2 linked regions of the Xenopus tropicalis genome follow. The protein of the gene in region 1 interacts with the protein of each later gene in a biochemical or structural test. Links are inferred from orthologs where the notes say so. Each region holds a gene or a part of one and is shown in the gene's direction. Other genes may lie near its edges. The genes, in order: slc9a1 and tesc.

Evidence for each region.
Region 2: the proteins of slc9a1 (region 1) and tesc form a complex in vitro, tested with the Homo sapiens proteins (4 studies listed by BioGRID and IntAct, with this or other methods). The link is inferred for Xenopus tropicalis from reciprocal best matches to the Homo sapiens genes SLC9A1 and TESC.

Annotation. Positions count from the first base shown.
Region 1 is NC_030678.2:77,892,083-77,900,924, reverse strand, and holds the start of slc9a1 (sodium/hydrogen exchanger 1), read left to right. Parts: upstream 1-3,728; 5' UTR 3,729-4,265; coding exon 4,266-4,551; intron 4,552-8,842. UniProt on the Homo sapiens protein: Electroneutral Na(+) /H(+) antiporter that extrudes Na(+) in exchange for external protons driven by the inward sodium ion chemical gradient, protecting cells from acidification that occurs from metabolism.
Region 2 is NC_030677.2:164,792,495-164,800,639, reverse strand, and holds part of tesc (calcineurin B homologous protein 3), read left to right. Parts: intron 1-1,893; coding exon 1,894-2,033; intron 2,034-2,951; coding exon 2,952-3,013; intron 3,014-3,113; coding exon 3,114-3,221; intron 3,222-4,881; coding exon 4,882-4,929; intron 4,930-8,145. UniProt on the Homo sapiens protein: Functions as an integral cofactor in cell pH regulation by controlling plasma membrane-type Na(+)/H(+) exchange activity. Promotes the maturation, transport, cell surface stability and exchange activity of SLC9A1/NHE1 at the plasma membrane.

The DNA of each region.
Region 1 (8,842 bases):
TATATGCCAATATTACAACTAAAAAAAATACATTTGCTGGTTCAACTTAACAAAAATACATTTGCTGGTTCAGGAATAAAATTTTAAACGGTAGAGTGAATTATTAGCTATGTAAACAGTGTAACTTAGAAATAAAAAGAATACCATAAAAATCATGACAGTATCCCTTTAAGGGAAAATCCACTGCTCCTCAATTAGCTGATTGACTTATTAGCAGATTAATTATTATTTTTTTTTAAGAACAAACAGAAAAACATGTTTGGACATATTTCCCAAGAGAAAAAAACATGTATTCCAGCCAACTTCTCCATCATTCTAGGCATTAATAAACTGTTTCATACAGGCAAGTCTGAAAAGCATGAAGAATTTGTTAGAAAGGGTGAGGAAAGAAATAGAAAAGGGATAGATGAGAATAGAGCTATCTCTTATAGCTGATTCAGTGTTTAATAATCAAGCAGTAACATGTGTGGGGTTTTAGGATCTAGGATCAGGTAAGATTTACTTCTATGGAACTGAGAAGGAAAAGAGAACAGGACAAGCAACCACCACCCGATGAGGCTAAAACCAGCGCTATAGATAGTTGTCCCATGTGGAGTATATCTGTTAGGAATGTGATGCAGAAGACTGAGCTCTCTGGCCCTGTATCAGTCCCAGACCATGCCAGGAGACACAAGGAGTTCCATGTTAGAAATATTATAGTGTATAGTATTACTCAGAACAAGGTTCAATATTGCATTAAGCTCTTGTATTGATTTGTTTCTTTGTATCTAATCCAATAAAACCATTTTTGAGATAATTGTTGCTCCTCTTGTGCTGTTGATGCTTTGTAGCTCTCAAATCTTTCGATTTCCATGATCTTACGTAACTAATCAGGAAAACTCGGTGGCAAAGACTGTCCTCATCTCTAAGGTATTAGAAGTTTATCTGAGTCCAACATAATTGGTACTAGCGTTTTCTGGTATATTTTTCTGCTTATAGGTGTATGGTGTAAAACTATAGTAAGTGGTTCATTCAGGACCTCCGCATTTGTCACATCAGTGATAGCTTTGCATACTTTGTTCCAGTAATCAGACAGCATTGGGCATTCCCAGAAAATGTAAGAAAGTGTGCCTGGCCCAATAGGACATCTCCAACAGGTGGATGGAACTGTTTAATATATCTTGGCTAGTTTGACTGGAGTTCTGCACCATTTACTTAATATTTTGTAATTTAGTTCATGTATTCATATACAAATAGAGGTAGAGCATATTAGTGAGACTATTTTCTCCCATTCCTTGTTCTCTAAAGTTCTGCCCACTTGTTCTTCCAATTTGACTTTGAAGAAATGATTGGGGGTATCTTTATGGTTAAGTATGGCTTTCCATAATAGCTCTATTTGGGTATGCAAGGTTTTGGTTACACGACATGACATGGTAATGTGTGATAATGCTAGATAAATGGTAAATGTTTAATTTGTTCGTATTTGAACTGGTCAGGTGGTGTAGGCTGGAGATGAGGGAGAATGTTGTCTATAGGTGGGATAGTATTTCCAGAGAGAAAAAATAGACTACCTGGTGTTGTTTTACTTGCCATCTGTCATATAATTTGTGATTTTTTCCCAGTGGAAAAGTGGGGTTGCCAAATATTGGGGTAAATCGGGATGGTTTTCCAATTCATTTTGCAGTGTTAACAAGATTATCCCATACTTGGAGGGAGTATACTAGCTTTTTATCTGTTCTGTCAGCGATAAAAGGATATTCATATTCATTAAATTTTTGAGGTCTTGTTGCACTCTATTAAGCAGGCCCTAATAGTCTAGTTTTACCATGGTGTGTATAGACAAATTCGTTTTTAGACCCTAATTATATCAGCGGGCTACTTTTAAAGGGAAATTGCTCATTATGGTGTTATATTCATTCTAAGGTATGCTTATATTCATAACCTCTGATTTAGCTAAATGTATTTTAAAGTTGCTTAGATTGTTAAACTGGTCCAGTTCTGGTAATAGGTTTAGTATAGAGAACTGTGGACATCATAGAAAGAGTAACAGGTCATCTGCGTATCCAGCTATTTCTGCTTTCTTGTGCCCACTTCAATACCTGTGACATTTATTGCGTGATATAATTGAGGAAGCTCTCTATGGATATGACAAATAAAAGGGGCGACAGAAAACATAATTGGCAGGTTCCTTTGTGGATTGAGAAGGGTGCCATTGATTTTTAACCTAGCAGAGGGGGTTGAGTATAGAGCTGAAATCCAGTTAAGCATTTGGGATCCTAATCCTATAGTTCAGATTTAACGAGAAACTTCCAGTCTACTCTGTGAAATGCCTTCTAGTCGTAGCGGAAATTGATCGTTGCACTGGCCAGTAGCTCTCGCAGTGTGCGTTCTCTCAGCACCACATCAAGCCACTTATTAGCTCATTATGTTTACAATTTTAACTACTAGTGACTAGTTATTGGGCCCCTAAACATACACAGTTTATGTTACTTGTGCAAAAAGTTAAGTATTTTTTATATCAAGCAATGACAGCCAGAGTAAGGTTAGGAAAGAGGTAGACCTCCAACACATTAATGAAAGTCTTAATATGAACTGTTTATTATAGAGTAACTTCAGCTGTTGATATTGCATACACAAAAAATGGCCAAAATCTTGATACAGTGTGCTTGTGCTCATGAGGGGTTCCATATAAACCGCTTCTTCTACGGGGCCCCTAAGTTTCTGGAGGCTGTCCTGGCAGCAGGTACTGTTGGCAGGCCCGGATTTGTGGAAAGGCCACAAAGGCCCGGGCCTAGGGCGGCAGAATTTAGGGGCGGCATGCCGCCCCAACAAAATTTTTAAATTTGGCTCCCATACGGAGCAGTCGGGACCTCTCCCCACTGCTCCGTATGGGAGTTTAAAGGTTTGCGCATGCACACTCGCACCTGCGCACGGGGGTGTGTCGCGCGTTCGTGCATGCGCACAGGGGGCGGGGCGACCAACGGGGGCGGCCATCGGGGCGCCCTGAAGATAAATCCGGCCCTGACTGTTGGCATCCCTACCAACTGTCCCAATTTTCGAAGGACAGTCCCTCTTTTGACAGCTCATCCCACAGTCCTGTATTCTTACTAAAAAGTCCCTCTTTTTCCTTTGATCTCCTGCACTGAAGCTAAAAAAAGATACAAATTTAATTAAAAAGTAGCTTTTGGCAGAGAGCCCAGGAAGTTAAAAAGCCCCCCCAGCACTTAAGATACAATTGTAAATAATAAGTTAAACAGGTCTCTTGGGGGAACCAAGACTTCCAGCTTAATTTCAGCTTTTTTAACAAAACTTTAATAATACATAAAACAAGACCCCAAACCCCCCAGAAATGTGTTGAAATTAACCTTCCAAATATAGTCAAATGGGAGTGGTACTTAAGGGGTGTGGTTTTAAAAATATCATTTCTTTTTGTCCCTCTTTCCATTTTCAAAATGTTAGGAGGTATGCTGTCGGCAACCAGGAAAAAGTATTAGCGCCCTGGCACAATTCAAAAGTCTGAGCAACATGTATAAATGACTTCTAATAACACTGGGGACTAAGGTGACAGACGGAAAGGCATAAAACAACACACTAAAATCTCTGCTGTTTCTTTCCCTCTAACAGAAGTAGACAAAATAGATTTAAAGTTGAGCTACGGCAACTCATTTCCAGCTTCTGAACCCCGCCGACTGCTCACTCCCACAAGGCGTCTACGTGATGCGTCACTGCTCTTACCTGTGGGCGTGACGCAAGTCTCGCGAGATGAGACTTGGGGCGTTGAGATTTTCTTAAAGACAGGAGGCTGGGAACCTGCAGTTAACAATTTTGCGGGAGGTCTAAGTAGCGTACGGGGCTGGTGGCTGTGTATGGGAACTCGGGACTGTTTGGCATTATAAGCTGTGTAGGGGAAAGAACATACAGGCACTTTAGCGACCGGAATTCCTCCCAAAGTCTGTAGCTCACTGAAAGCAAAGGGGCCGGTAATTGAATAAGTGCAGCATAGCCGGGAAATCCTTTAAACCACAAAACCCACAGAGATTGTGACGGCTGCCCTCCTTTCATTCCCCGATGGCGGCCTTGGTTGTATTGGGAGTACATGTAGCCTTGTCCTTGTCTATGGGGATACACAGAAGTAGTTAGTCTTGCTTGTTCTTGTGTGTATATATATGTATATGTGTGTGTACACAAAGCCATTCCATAGCAGGCTGATGCATACTTTTATGCAGGTGTGTTATCAAGTGGTGTTTAAATCACGTTGTTAGGTACACAGGGTCCAGTAATTAATAATGGAGAAGAAATTGTTTCTAAACTACTTTGGCTATATATTTATTTTGACTCTGATACCCTTAGTATTTAGTGAGGCTAGTTATCCTCCTGAATCTGGTCATCCTGGCATAACTGATGCCTATGATGTGTTTGAGGATACCCACCATGATAGTACCAATCACAGTCACGAAGGAGGGCATCATGGAAAAAAGAAAGCTTTCCCTGTTCTTGATCTGGATTACACTCGTATTCGGATGCCCTTTGAGATAGCATTATGGATCCTTCTGGCATCACTTATGAAACTTGGTGAGTAATGACAGGTGTTACATGCTATCAGAATACATGTCTTGGTTTGCCAGGAAGAAGCAAATGAGTCAGTTTTCAGCCAACAATCTTCCACCAAAAAGTTATGTTAATTAGTTCTCTTTTTTTATTTCTATTAATGCATTTTTTAAAATTATTAATTACATATTACTTTATGTGTATGCAGCTCTTTGCAGAGACTGTTCATCATTTACATCAATCTGCCCAGTGGAGCTTGCAGTCTCAGATCCCTATCAGTCACACAACAAACAAGGTTCTGAGAAGTTTAACCCCAAACATACAGGGTAACACTGTAACAAGAACTCAGGCTTCAGTTGCTAAGGTCTGTTATCTCTAAATTAAAAGATAATATGGATTTTTTTTTAAATATAATAATACACCTTTAACAAATATTTGTGTGATGGAGATTGTATGAGTACACATAACTTAGTAAACATGGGAAAAGGAGCAGCCACAGTTTCTGAGGAGGAATTACAATTATTATAAATAATAAAAGCTAATAAGCTAGTATCACAAAATGTAAATATAAATAATTTTACTATTTCCTTAAATAAGGTGCTATCAGATTCAATAGCAATTTAATATAATGGCTTGTTAAATATTTGTTTTACAAAAGGAAAACTTCCATACAATATTTTTGATAGATGAACTGTTTTTTGTTTTATTATGGTTTATAAATTGTCTGGTTTGTAAATAAATTTGCAATATTTTTGGATAGCGGCCTCTACCATATATATTTTAATGTTAGTTATAGAGAACACCACCCCACCTTGGTAGGCAAGCACTGAGTAAAGCTCTCCTCTGAACTTAAAAGTGGTATCTTAAAAGTGTAATATAAAAGCTTTAAGCCGTGTTCTGCTGAATGTATAGAACTATGGCTATGTTATATTTAACAACCTGTGTGATTGTTGGTAGTGCCCAGGAGGAAGTTTTGTTTTATAGAAGTAATGTCAAATTGGGGATATCATTTTACATTACATAGTCTCTTACATGAGTGCTGCTTACGTGCGTGCTTACAGTGCTGCTTTTCATTTAACATTCACAATCCCATACATGAGTTAGTTATAAACCACCTATAGAAAGTGGTTTATTTTGCTGCTTGGACTGGTGATTAGCAACATTTGGCAGTACTCTGAGTCAGTTAGTCAAATTCTGTTTTTAATAGAATATAATGTAGTTGTTTGCATGCAGATGAACATAGAACAGATACGCCCTGGGGCTCAAGATGATCAGATGATACTGTCACAGGTTTTGCTTTATTTTGTTTTCTGTGTAATTCTTTTTGTTCAGTAGAATCAAAAATTGCCATCAAGTATCCTGTGCTTGCACACATTTCAGTTACTAATGCTTTTACAGAAGATATGGGAGTTTATATGGAAAATTGTTCCACTTTAGTTAAAAGGTTCTAAAAGTGTTTTTAAAGAATGAGAAAAGCACAGAATGTTGTGTTCTAAACGCTCCCAGCTGAGTTTTCAGGACAGTAGTATGCAGAATAAAAATTTCATTTGATTTCTATTTTTATTTTTTGAAAAATGTCTTTAATTTCCCTAAGCTTACAGTGGTGTTTGAAAGTTTGTAAACCCTTTTAAATTCTCAGTATTTTGGCCTAGAAGTAATCTTTTTTTCGCGCTATAACTATATAACGAGATCCCAATTAAATTAATGGTTATTGATGCTCACTGGGCTGTAAAGAATTTACAAAACCAAATTCTTAGGCTAATGCCAGATGTGATATATTTTCGGCAAGCTGGAAAACACTTGCCGAGAATCCGCCCTGCTACTGTAAAAACCTCCTGCTTGTGCCTGAATACTCAAGGGTGCCGGTACAAGTACCGTATTTCTGCCTGAAAATGTTGGTGTATGCAGTTTCCGGCAGAAATACACCACATGTGCCTGCACCCGAGCGTATTCAATGCTTCCAGGTGCAGGCTCTAGTAGTAGATTTTTGCAGCGTAGGGGCGCATTCTCTGTAAGTGTTTTCGGTGTGCCGAGAATACACCACATCTGGCATTAGCCTGACAATTTGGACTCCACCTGTCCACTGCACAAATATAGGCAATTCAACACCATCATTACCCTCTTTGGTGTGGTGGACCAACAAAGATCACACCAAGGGCTAGATTAATCTAAGTACGAATCCGAATCATGAAATCCATTAATTTCTGATGTTTGGAAAAGTCATGAAAATTCAGTTCGTTTGAATACAAAAATTTCGTACTTATGATCTGAAGTTTGTGTTGAAACGATCGTTTGCGCAAATCACGAAATTTTCATATCCGAACGGTCGTAAATGGCGGGAAAACCTTTCTGACTTTGAACCTTCAGTGCATGATTTTGGAAATCTCCCATAGGACTCTATGGCACTCTGCAGCTCCAACCTGGCCCAAGGAAAGTCACGATACCAAAGCTTGAATGATTTTGTCGCAAAAAAGTACGAAAAATATGAAAAAGTCGCGCAAATTAACGAAAATATTGCAGAAAATACACAAAAGTAAACTTTAGAAAGAAATACTAATTTTTTGCATTCGAACCTGTCGTATTTTGATGAATGTGCCCCCAAGTGTAATAATTGAGTATGTTGAGTTGAGTATGTCATACTGCAAGTTTGAAGGACAGATTAAAATGTCACACAATGGAGTCTATGAAGCCCTTAAAAAGACTGGGGGGCAATAAAATTTGGCATATCTGGCTCATAGACATCCCTTTTGACTGATGTCATCAGGACATGGCTTACTCTGAGCCATATTTAAAACAATACGATTTTTTAAATGAACTACCTCTTTAATTTCACAGGTATATTTAACTATGCATATTTGCGAAATACAGCTGTAAAGCAATGATCATTAGACCAGATAGTTATAACAGCACTATGTAAATCATTCCTTCATCGGTTTTGAGCTTTGGTGTAAGGGTGAGAAGAATTAATTACTAAATGTTTAAGGTTACCTGTGTGCACCTCGTTCACTGTATAAAACAAACTGCTTTTTATAAAGGCCAAGAGATTATAAAGCACTACATGTTCACATAATAAAGTTGTGAAGAGAACAAAAGTAAATACTGAGTGCCTGAGAAAAAAAATGGGAAAAAACGATATACCTTTGTGGTGTGCAATTACTAAAAGCACAAAGAATTCCATAAGTAGAGAATCATTAAAGGTATTCATGGTTACTATTATCAAGGCAACAAACAAATAACGTGTGAAATCTTACACTTATTGTGTGACAAAAGTACTAGTGGAAAATCTCAGTTTATCAAGAAACAAAGCTAGTAACCCCGCAATTCTAAGGAATTTTTACATAGTGTTTTCTGCTGCTCTTTCATAAAATAACCTTATTTTAAAAATAAACTGCTCAGGATGCTGGGAAGTGAAGTTCAGAATACGTAGCAAAAATTATTTCTTTTTTGTATTGGCTCTGCAGTAAATGAGTGTTCCTATATTTTGTACTGTTGAAATAGTCTGCAGTTCTTTTGAGGGATTAATTTTGGTGATCCCAAAAATATACACAATAGAAAGTGATTACTGAGGCCTAAAAACAATCTGAAATATGTGCCAAAAGGTGTGGCTCTGGAAATCCCGATTCATTTACTTTTCAAAAAGTAACTGCCTGTTCTGTGCTTTTATTCAGAAGTCTTTCTGTAGGTCATTGTGCAATTTGACCTCATGACTAGTAAAACTGGATTTGAGGGGATAGAGGAAAGGTGTTGGCTCTCGCTGTAGTGAGAATGCTAATGAGCTGTGTGGCTGCACTTTTCATATATATCTTTTTGTTTTTTGTTTTGGGCACTCAGTGCTCTGTTACAGCAACTTGGTATCATAGCTACCATATAGTGCTATAAATTCCACAATGTGGGACAAAAGTTAGTAAAAGTGAAAAAGCTTTTTGTGTTTTAATGCCACTTGAAAATTACATACACCATTAGCATTATACTGGTAGCTAATTTTCAAGGATGAATATCTTTTTATCTTGCTATCATTGCTAGAAAACTGCAGGGATTTAATTTAAAAATAGAAAGAATTGCACTACAAAATTCATTCAGACTTAACACTGCTGTGATGTGAAAGGCCAACCTTTCCTAATGTGGAACCTAATGTGGAACGGTTCACTCTGGTCTGTTTCATCAGGAGCCAATTAACCTGCTTGTATGTTTTTTTGCGGAATGTGGGGAGAAACCACAGTACCCAGAAGCAACCCATGCAAACTCCTAGCAGATAACATTAAACATTATTGGTGGTTTTAATTTTATTATTATTTGTAAACATATTTGCTATTGA
Region 2 (8,145 bases), on another chromosome or scaffold:
TTGTCTAAAAATGGCTGTAATAAAAAGATGCCTTACATAATAGCCAGAACACTACTTCCTCCTTTACAGCTCTCTAACCTCTTAGTTAGTCAACTACTTGAGGGGGACCATATGAGACCTTCATAAAAGTTTGGTTAGTTTGATTTTCATCCTGACCTGCATGCTCACAAACTAACTGAACAATTATGTCCCATGGGTCCCCTTCCACTCACCGACAGGTTAAAGAACTAAAAGCAGGAAGTAGTGTTCTGGCTATTATGTTAGACATCCACTCACTCCAGCCTTTATAGATTACATTCTTGCCAAACTATATTAGAAACATTTTTTTTCACACAACCTATACTTACCCAGTTTTAGGGCTCTGGCACACGGGGGAGATTAGTCGCCCGCGACAAAACTCCCTGTTCGCGGGCGACATCTCCCCGAGTTGCCATGACCCGCCATCCCGCCGGCGAACATGTAAGTCGCCGGCGGGATGGCACACGCGGCGGGGCGATTTCGCCGGTGAGATGGCAGGGGTAGGCAACTCGGGGAGATCAGTCGCCCGCGAACAGGGAGTTTTGTCGCGGGCGACTAATCTCCCCCGTGTGCCAGAGCCCTTATTCCTACATTGAACTGTTCCTTTAACCATGGACAGGGCAGATAACCTGTGTAAATATGCTAATACCTTTGTCCTACACTATCCTCTTCTTCTGCAAACAAGTAACCAATGACATGGGATTCCTGATGAGATTTGGCCTGTTAATGGAGAAACAGAGAGTCTTTGCTGACATACACACTAAGCCAAACGCAATGCGCTGTGTGCTTGAGTACAATGTATCATTTATTTTATCTGGAATTAAAACACCAAGAAAGGAGATGGAGGAGATGGTTATTATTTCTCTACCCTGGTTTCTGTGCTGAGTGATGCTAATGATTAACACTGTGACCCCTCCGCCCATATCTGGGTAGTATCTCACACAACTTGTATTGGTAACTTGGCCCAGGCTTTGGTTATAGGATAGGCCAGTGCTGATCATTCCCATCTCTTGACTTTAGTATCAGATTCTGCATTGTCTGCGTAATATGTTTCTGTAGCACCATGGGCAGTAAGAGTCAGGTGCAGAAACAAAACAAATAGCAGGACCTTCTCGCTAAAAAGTGTTCTTAGTTGAGGTTTGCTTGGAAACAGAGTCACATAAATTCCCAACTGACATTGCAAAGTGCAGAGTAATTAGGGGGCCACATGACAGGCCATTGTACATTACTGTTCCTCAGGCAAGCCACCAACAGACAGAATCTTGGTTTTATAACTGGGAGCCCCCACAGCTTCTTAGTGACACATTACACCCCAGATAAGCAAAGCTGATGAATTTTTCAGAGTTTAATACTAAGTATGGCTATTCATATCCTTCATGTAGAGTTCAGCAAAATTGGTAAACCATAACGTATAGATAAGCCGCACAAGTACAGAAACTGCTTTCCATCAAAGAAATGGTGTTTTGTTACATTTCATCTTACTAAATGTGATTCTGAACTTTGTTAAAAATGAGCTGCAAACTGCACTGGAGATCAATGTCATAAATACCTAATGCACACTGGATAGTAAATATGATAAGGTGACATAGAAAGGGTTCCTGGGGTGGGCATAGCAGCGCAATTACAATCATCCAGCTCTGTGAGTTTCACAGTAATAACCCTTGGTAATTATATACTCCCATCTCACATGTAGCTGTGGGGCTGACTTGGGCTCCATTTAGTGAAGGAAATTCAGTGGTTCCTTCTGACTTATTTTGCCTTTTTTCTCTAGGGGAATATTGGTGGCCAAATAGTGCTGGTAGCAGTTCTCATTTGCCCCATAGTCTGCTGATTACTCCTAGCGAATTCTTGCATTTCCTTGCATCTCTCTTGCAGGAATTTACGGAAAGGGTCGAGTGGATATGTAGAAGAAATTAACTTTGAGGAGTTTCTGACAATAATGTCCTATTTCCGCCCCCTGAGCCAGAATATGGATGAAGAAAACATAAGCGTGTGTCGGAAAGACAAGCTGAGATGTGAGTTCTTCATGCCTATGTACAGAATGGCCTGCATGAACTGAACATGACTTGCGTAGAGTTACCATATACATAGTATGCATTCATTCTTAAAGGGGAACTAAACTTTGCCAGCAAGCTCCCGCCATACTGGGGACTGTACTACATGTTTTAAAGGAACAGTAACACCAAAAAATGAAAATGTTATAAAAGTAATTACAATATAATGTACTGTTGCCCTGCACTGGTAAAATGTTTGTTTGCTACTATAGTTTGTATAAATAAGCTGTCCATGGGGCAGCCATTCAAACTGAAATAGGGCAAAATGGTGCAGGTTACATGGCAGATAACAGATAAGCTTTGTAAAAGAACATTGTGCCCCTATGGCTACACAGCAGCTTGTTAGTATAAACTACAGTAGTCTTTCTGAACACACAGCTATTACCATTGTAGTTCATAATATTTTATCTACTTTATAATACTTTCATATTTTTGGTGTATGTTGCCAGGTTTCCAGCAGCATTGTCCCATATAAACACCATCCTCCATTGCTGGCTGCACACTGGGCAGATGAACAAAGCTCTTGCACACAGGCTATTAGATTCAGGAAACAATTGGGCTAGGTATCAGCACTGTGGGCCAAACAGTGTGATATAATCCCTATAGCATTTAGATAATAATTCGTGTTTATATAGTACAATAGGAGGTGTATTTTCCCATATCCTAGTTCCACTTAAGCTGCTACCACACAAGGCTGATTCTCGTCCTGGGAAGGAATCGGCCCCTACCCTGGCATCAGTCTTTCCCTGTGCCTGCACCCGTAACCATTGAGTTGGCCTGGATACAGGCGCATGGAGCAAATTTTGGCGGAAAAACATTCAATACATTGACTATCTTTGCAAGAGCACAGACTAAACACAGCTTTCTTTTCTCACATAGTTCTGTTCAACATGTATGATACAGACAATGATAGCAAGATTACCCTGGAGGAATACAGAAAAGTAATGTATACGTTTTACCTTACTTGCATCTATCTATCTATCTATCTATCTATCTATCCTGGGAAGCTGTCCAAGCTAACGCTGTTTTGTAATGGCCTAGGTGGTAGAAGAACTCTTATCTGGAAATCCGAATATTGAAAAGGAAACTGCAAGATCCATTGCAGATGGAGCAATGTTGGAAGCTGCCAGCATTTGTGTTGGCCAAATGGTAATTTATCATATTATAAAGCTGCTAGAAGGCTGAAAATAGGTGGGATTTGATGTGGTGTGGCTTAAAGAGTCACTGACCCATAAACTTGAGCTTCTTGTGCATAGAAAATAAAAGTGCTGCAATAGATAGAAGGTATCTCTCTTTACGAGAGAAACTCTGAGGAGTTGTCCATTGTGCTATTTGTGCCACATGTTGGCAACTATTCTCTTATGATATAACATGACACCCTACTCTCTGCATCAGTGCTGGGATTCTCCTGTAATGTGCACAAACCAAAAGGATTTAAAGTTAAATACATCTATCCTATGCCATTCTCTGTATTTAGACCATATATGTCAAACACAAGGCCCGGGGGCCAAATCCGGCCCACCTGGCTGTTTTATGTGGCCCCTGGTGGGTGTGTTTGACCATCCAGCCTGATCAATTTCCATTTTCCTTACATAGTAACTAAGACTAAGTGGTATATCTATCAGTAGCAAAGCATCTATTGGCTGCTATGAGCAACATCTTACTCCACTTTTTACACATTGTGATAAATATAGCCCTTAGTATCTTACTAAGTATATTGATAAAAAAATTGGCCCACGACTTAGCCTGTGTTTTAGATTTCGGCCCCCTTATGTGATTGAGTTTGACACCCCTGATTTAGACACTGGTGCTATTTGTGGCCTGGGTTTTGTCACAGCTACAAAATGCTAGAAAATGCTAGAGACAATGCTGAGAATTCTTTGCTGAAACACTCAAAATCACTTAAAATTATGCGATTTAAGTGTTTCAGCGGAGACACTTCTCACTATTCCTGCCATTTGTACCTGCAAGAAAACAAGTGCAACATATAGCACCACATGTCATTGCCCTAATAGTTCCTCAGTACAATATTTGTGCTAAATTGGGCATGAAATCCACATCAGAGCACAGTTTAAGTACCATACCCCCCCTTTATAGGAGATTATCCCTGAAATCACCTATTTTATATCAGTCAAGGAAGCAAGAAGTGTACATTATTCCTGCTGCTCCGAAACTGTATCAAATCGGTGCTCTGCCAATTGAAGGGTAATTGAGTGTGACACACTGATAAGGCGTGATAAAGGCAATAAAATCCACAATAAACTCTGCATTGTTGTTTGTATAGTGCCCAGTCCAAGGCCTGCCAGAACAATTTCCATTTAGGCTAATGTCCCATGGAGCAAGTTAGTTACTAGTGATAGATCTCTGCTACTGCGGGCAACTAACAGCTCTGAAATGCCTTTCCACTGGCAACAATAGGAGTCCCAGGTGGAAAGGCCTACACTTTGCTTCAGTTTTCCTCCTGCAGGCAACTTTGTGCGAGTCAAAGCGATGCATAGGCCTTTCTACTGGCCTGCTGTTGCTGGTGGAAAGGAGTGGTTAGGGATATATTGTTTGCTCCTAGGGCCAAACAATCACATTAGCACAATATCACCCACCTAAGGGGATATATCAGGAGAAATATTCTCTCGTTTGGTGACCTTGTGTATGGCCACCTTCAGGCGCCCTACTTATCTCCCCTCTGCTGTATTCTGCACAGTGCAAATAGTAATAGGTGCACATAGCTCTGCAAATCACCTTTAGCTGCTATGCTTGTGCCCTCTTGTGTTAAACCCATTTATTAAGGCATTTTAATCTTATGCTTTGACAGGAACCTGACCAGGTATATGAAGGAATTACATTTGATGACTTCCTCAAGGTAACTATTTGTTTTGATTCATTTGCCAAAATACATTGTCGAAACTTTATAATGAAAAGTCTCTGAAGAGCACTTCAATACCAATACACAGTAGCTGAACATGATAGGAAGTGGGAGCAGCACTGCTGCCTTGGTAGCAAACACTGCAGTACATTAGCTGGAAGACTTTCTGGGCTCTTCTATTAAAAAATGTTGCCAAAACATATACACATGCAAGTAGCAGGAGCAGCAGCTTTGAGAGATGAATCTGTAGTTCCTTAATTGGACCCTCAATTTGCCATGCGTGTTGTGCCAGCAGTAGTTACACGGCCCAGTGCTCACATGTTGCACTCACACACCAGGGGTGGAACACAATGCCGGGAATCCTTTAATGGTGAACACAAATTGCTTTGTATAAAACTTATTCAGGTGCCTAAGTGTACACCAACTTTATGCCCATTGGCCAGGTATCTGTTCATGCAGGTTAGGAAATCTTATTGGGCAAAAGCTGAATCGGCACATTTCTGTGTAACTGTCCTGACAGGCCTGCCTTAGCCCCCTGTTATTAGCCAGCCCTTGTCCTATAGACCAACTAAGTAGGTCATCCTTATTTGGCCCTCTGTGGTGACCTTGCCAATCGTGCAGATCTTTTGTCGTGGTCAACTTTAGATTTTCAGAAGTTTTAAGGCAACTAAATGAACAGACAATTTTTGCTAGCTATAAACCTTGTAGGATACAGGCTTTAGGCGGGCACGCCATTACACTTCCTGGTCCCAAACTATTTACCAACTATATTTTTGTCTAATGATCCACTTTTGCCCACGGTCCAGGTCAGAGTACTTGGATGCTAATGTTCAGGCTTAGACTGCAGCCTTCTCAAAATAAATAAAATCTGGCAAGGCCAGGTACAAGCCTATACGTAAAAAGCAGCACAAGTAGATATTATATATTTTTTTCAAGCAAGGAAAAAAGGCTACGTGCGTATCTGAAAGTGGGGCAGCAGCTTGTTCCTCAAAAAACTTGTTGGCAAGCATCACTTCTAGCTGAGTGTGTCCGGCCAAGTTCTTTAGTGGCCACTGTCTGCTTATCAGCTGATGCTCTGAATGTACATTAACAAGAAGACGCATTACAGGAGCTTAGAGAAGAATGTGAAGAATTTTGATGAGCACACATAGCTGCCAAATTATCATTCCTCTGCAGCTATTCCTAGCAATACAGTCAGATGCCTCCTCAACTTGCTCCCAGACCCAGCTTTATTTATATATGAGAGTGACCGGGCTGCTCATTACCCAGCCTTTATTAATATTCCCAGGTTAGTGAAAGCCTGTATGTCTGAGCTGGGGGTGAGCAGTTTGTAATTATTAGGTGCCTGCTCAAATACAATTCCTAGTGAGACTTAAGCCTTATATTTCAAACACTGTTAAAACAAAATAATTCCTGACGATAGTGAAAGAGCTGAAAGCAGTTTCATGGTACTTTCAGGGGGTACCTGTGGCCAGCGGATCTACTTACAACGAAACCTGTTTTACGTCCTGATTTAAAGTTTTTCCTCTTTTTAGACCATTTTTGTATTACCACAACGTATAATGCATTTCCCTAATTCTATATTTTTATTTCGGCTGAATGATTTGATGCCACTAATTTTGAATTTAATCCAGGCCAGCTAAACCCATAGGGACAGATATATCAAAAGTACTGTGTACTGTTTTTTGTGTCCATTTTCTCAGGGGCATCAATACCCTAGTGTAGAAGCTGCCATCAGATTGGTGGATTCTACACTTATGTTGCATGTGACGTGAGCCTCACTCAAGAAGAGCTTTCTTGGCACCCCTGAGAAACCTGACACAAGAAATATTTAAAAAAGAAAAAAAACATAATACGTGGTACTTTGATTTACCTGAGATTTTCCCATATGTTTCTATTTAACGTATTAATAAACCAACCTGATAATTCTTAAATCAGTGCACTGATAGAAACTAGATTGTGAAAACTGGCAAAAAGTGGATAAATCTCAGAAAGACCTCAGTATGCGAGAGAAATGCTTTTTTCAGTTAAGTTAAAGATAAAGGAGATGTCTAAACTTTGGATAAATCTGTGCCCAGTTAAGCACACCCGTGCTAGTTTCTTAGATGAATAAATTCCATACATATCTCATGTAGCAAGGAAACCCTTGTCTCAGGCAGCTAAATGGTGACACTGAAGAAGGAAAGGTAAAAACTAAGAAAGCTTTATCAGAAGGTCTATGTAAATACAGCCATAAGCACTCACAGTAATGCTGCACTGAGTCCTCTATCAAAAGAAACAGGATTTTTTTGTCTCCTTTTTGTGAACATGTTCTTTGGTATCAGACTTCCTCTCTTTTAGGGCTCCTTCATGTTTGGGCAGGGGCAGGCCAAGGGAGGGGGGAGAGCCATTGCCCCCACCGCATGACAACCGGTGGGGCAATGAGAAGGGAGCACGGGCTAGGGATAGGCAGGAGAGGTTTCTGCCTGGCGCCCCCCAATTGTTGCACCCTAGCCAGCTGCCTCTTCTGCCTATCCCCTAGTTCCGGCCCTGGGTTTTTGGCAGGAGTCTCCCCAGTTCCCCCCCCTCCTATAAAAATGCATACAAACTCCCGCCCCCCCCCCCTTAGGAATGGGTTATCTGAGCTATAACTGCAGTAGGAAGCTACCAAGACCAATCTAAAATGGCAGCTGCTATCAGAGGGAGCTTCGAGGGTTCTTTACTCAGGTATAGTAAAGCTTTCTGCTGAATAAATATAGCGTTCTAGGTGGCACTAATGTGTCAAATCTATTGCCAGTAAAATGCCAAAATGACTTTCCGTCTCCTTTAAGAACCAAATTTCCACCTTTTAAATTGAAAATTTAGCATTTTAAGAGCTAATTCATCTGTCTGCTGTGAAAAATGTGTAAATTATTAATTAGATTTTCCATACTGGTTATTTAAACCAAATACAATGCTTATGCTTTCAATCTGCAGAGAACCTGGCCATGTATGGTTTCCTACCAGCAATTTCCATTAATGCCTACGCTAAATAGTCCTGTGCATGACATAAGTAACTTATATATGATGGCTGAAGGTGGCCATATACAGGCAGATTTAAGCCCCCGATTCAAGTCCTTCAGACCGATTTGGCTGCTTATCTGCCCATTTATTGGGACCCCCCACAGGATATCGATATCTGGCTGAAAATTGGCCAAGTGTCGTTTGGGTAGGTTTGATTTTCACATTGGATTA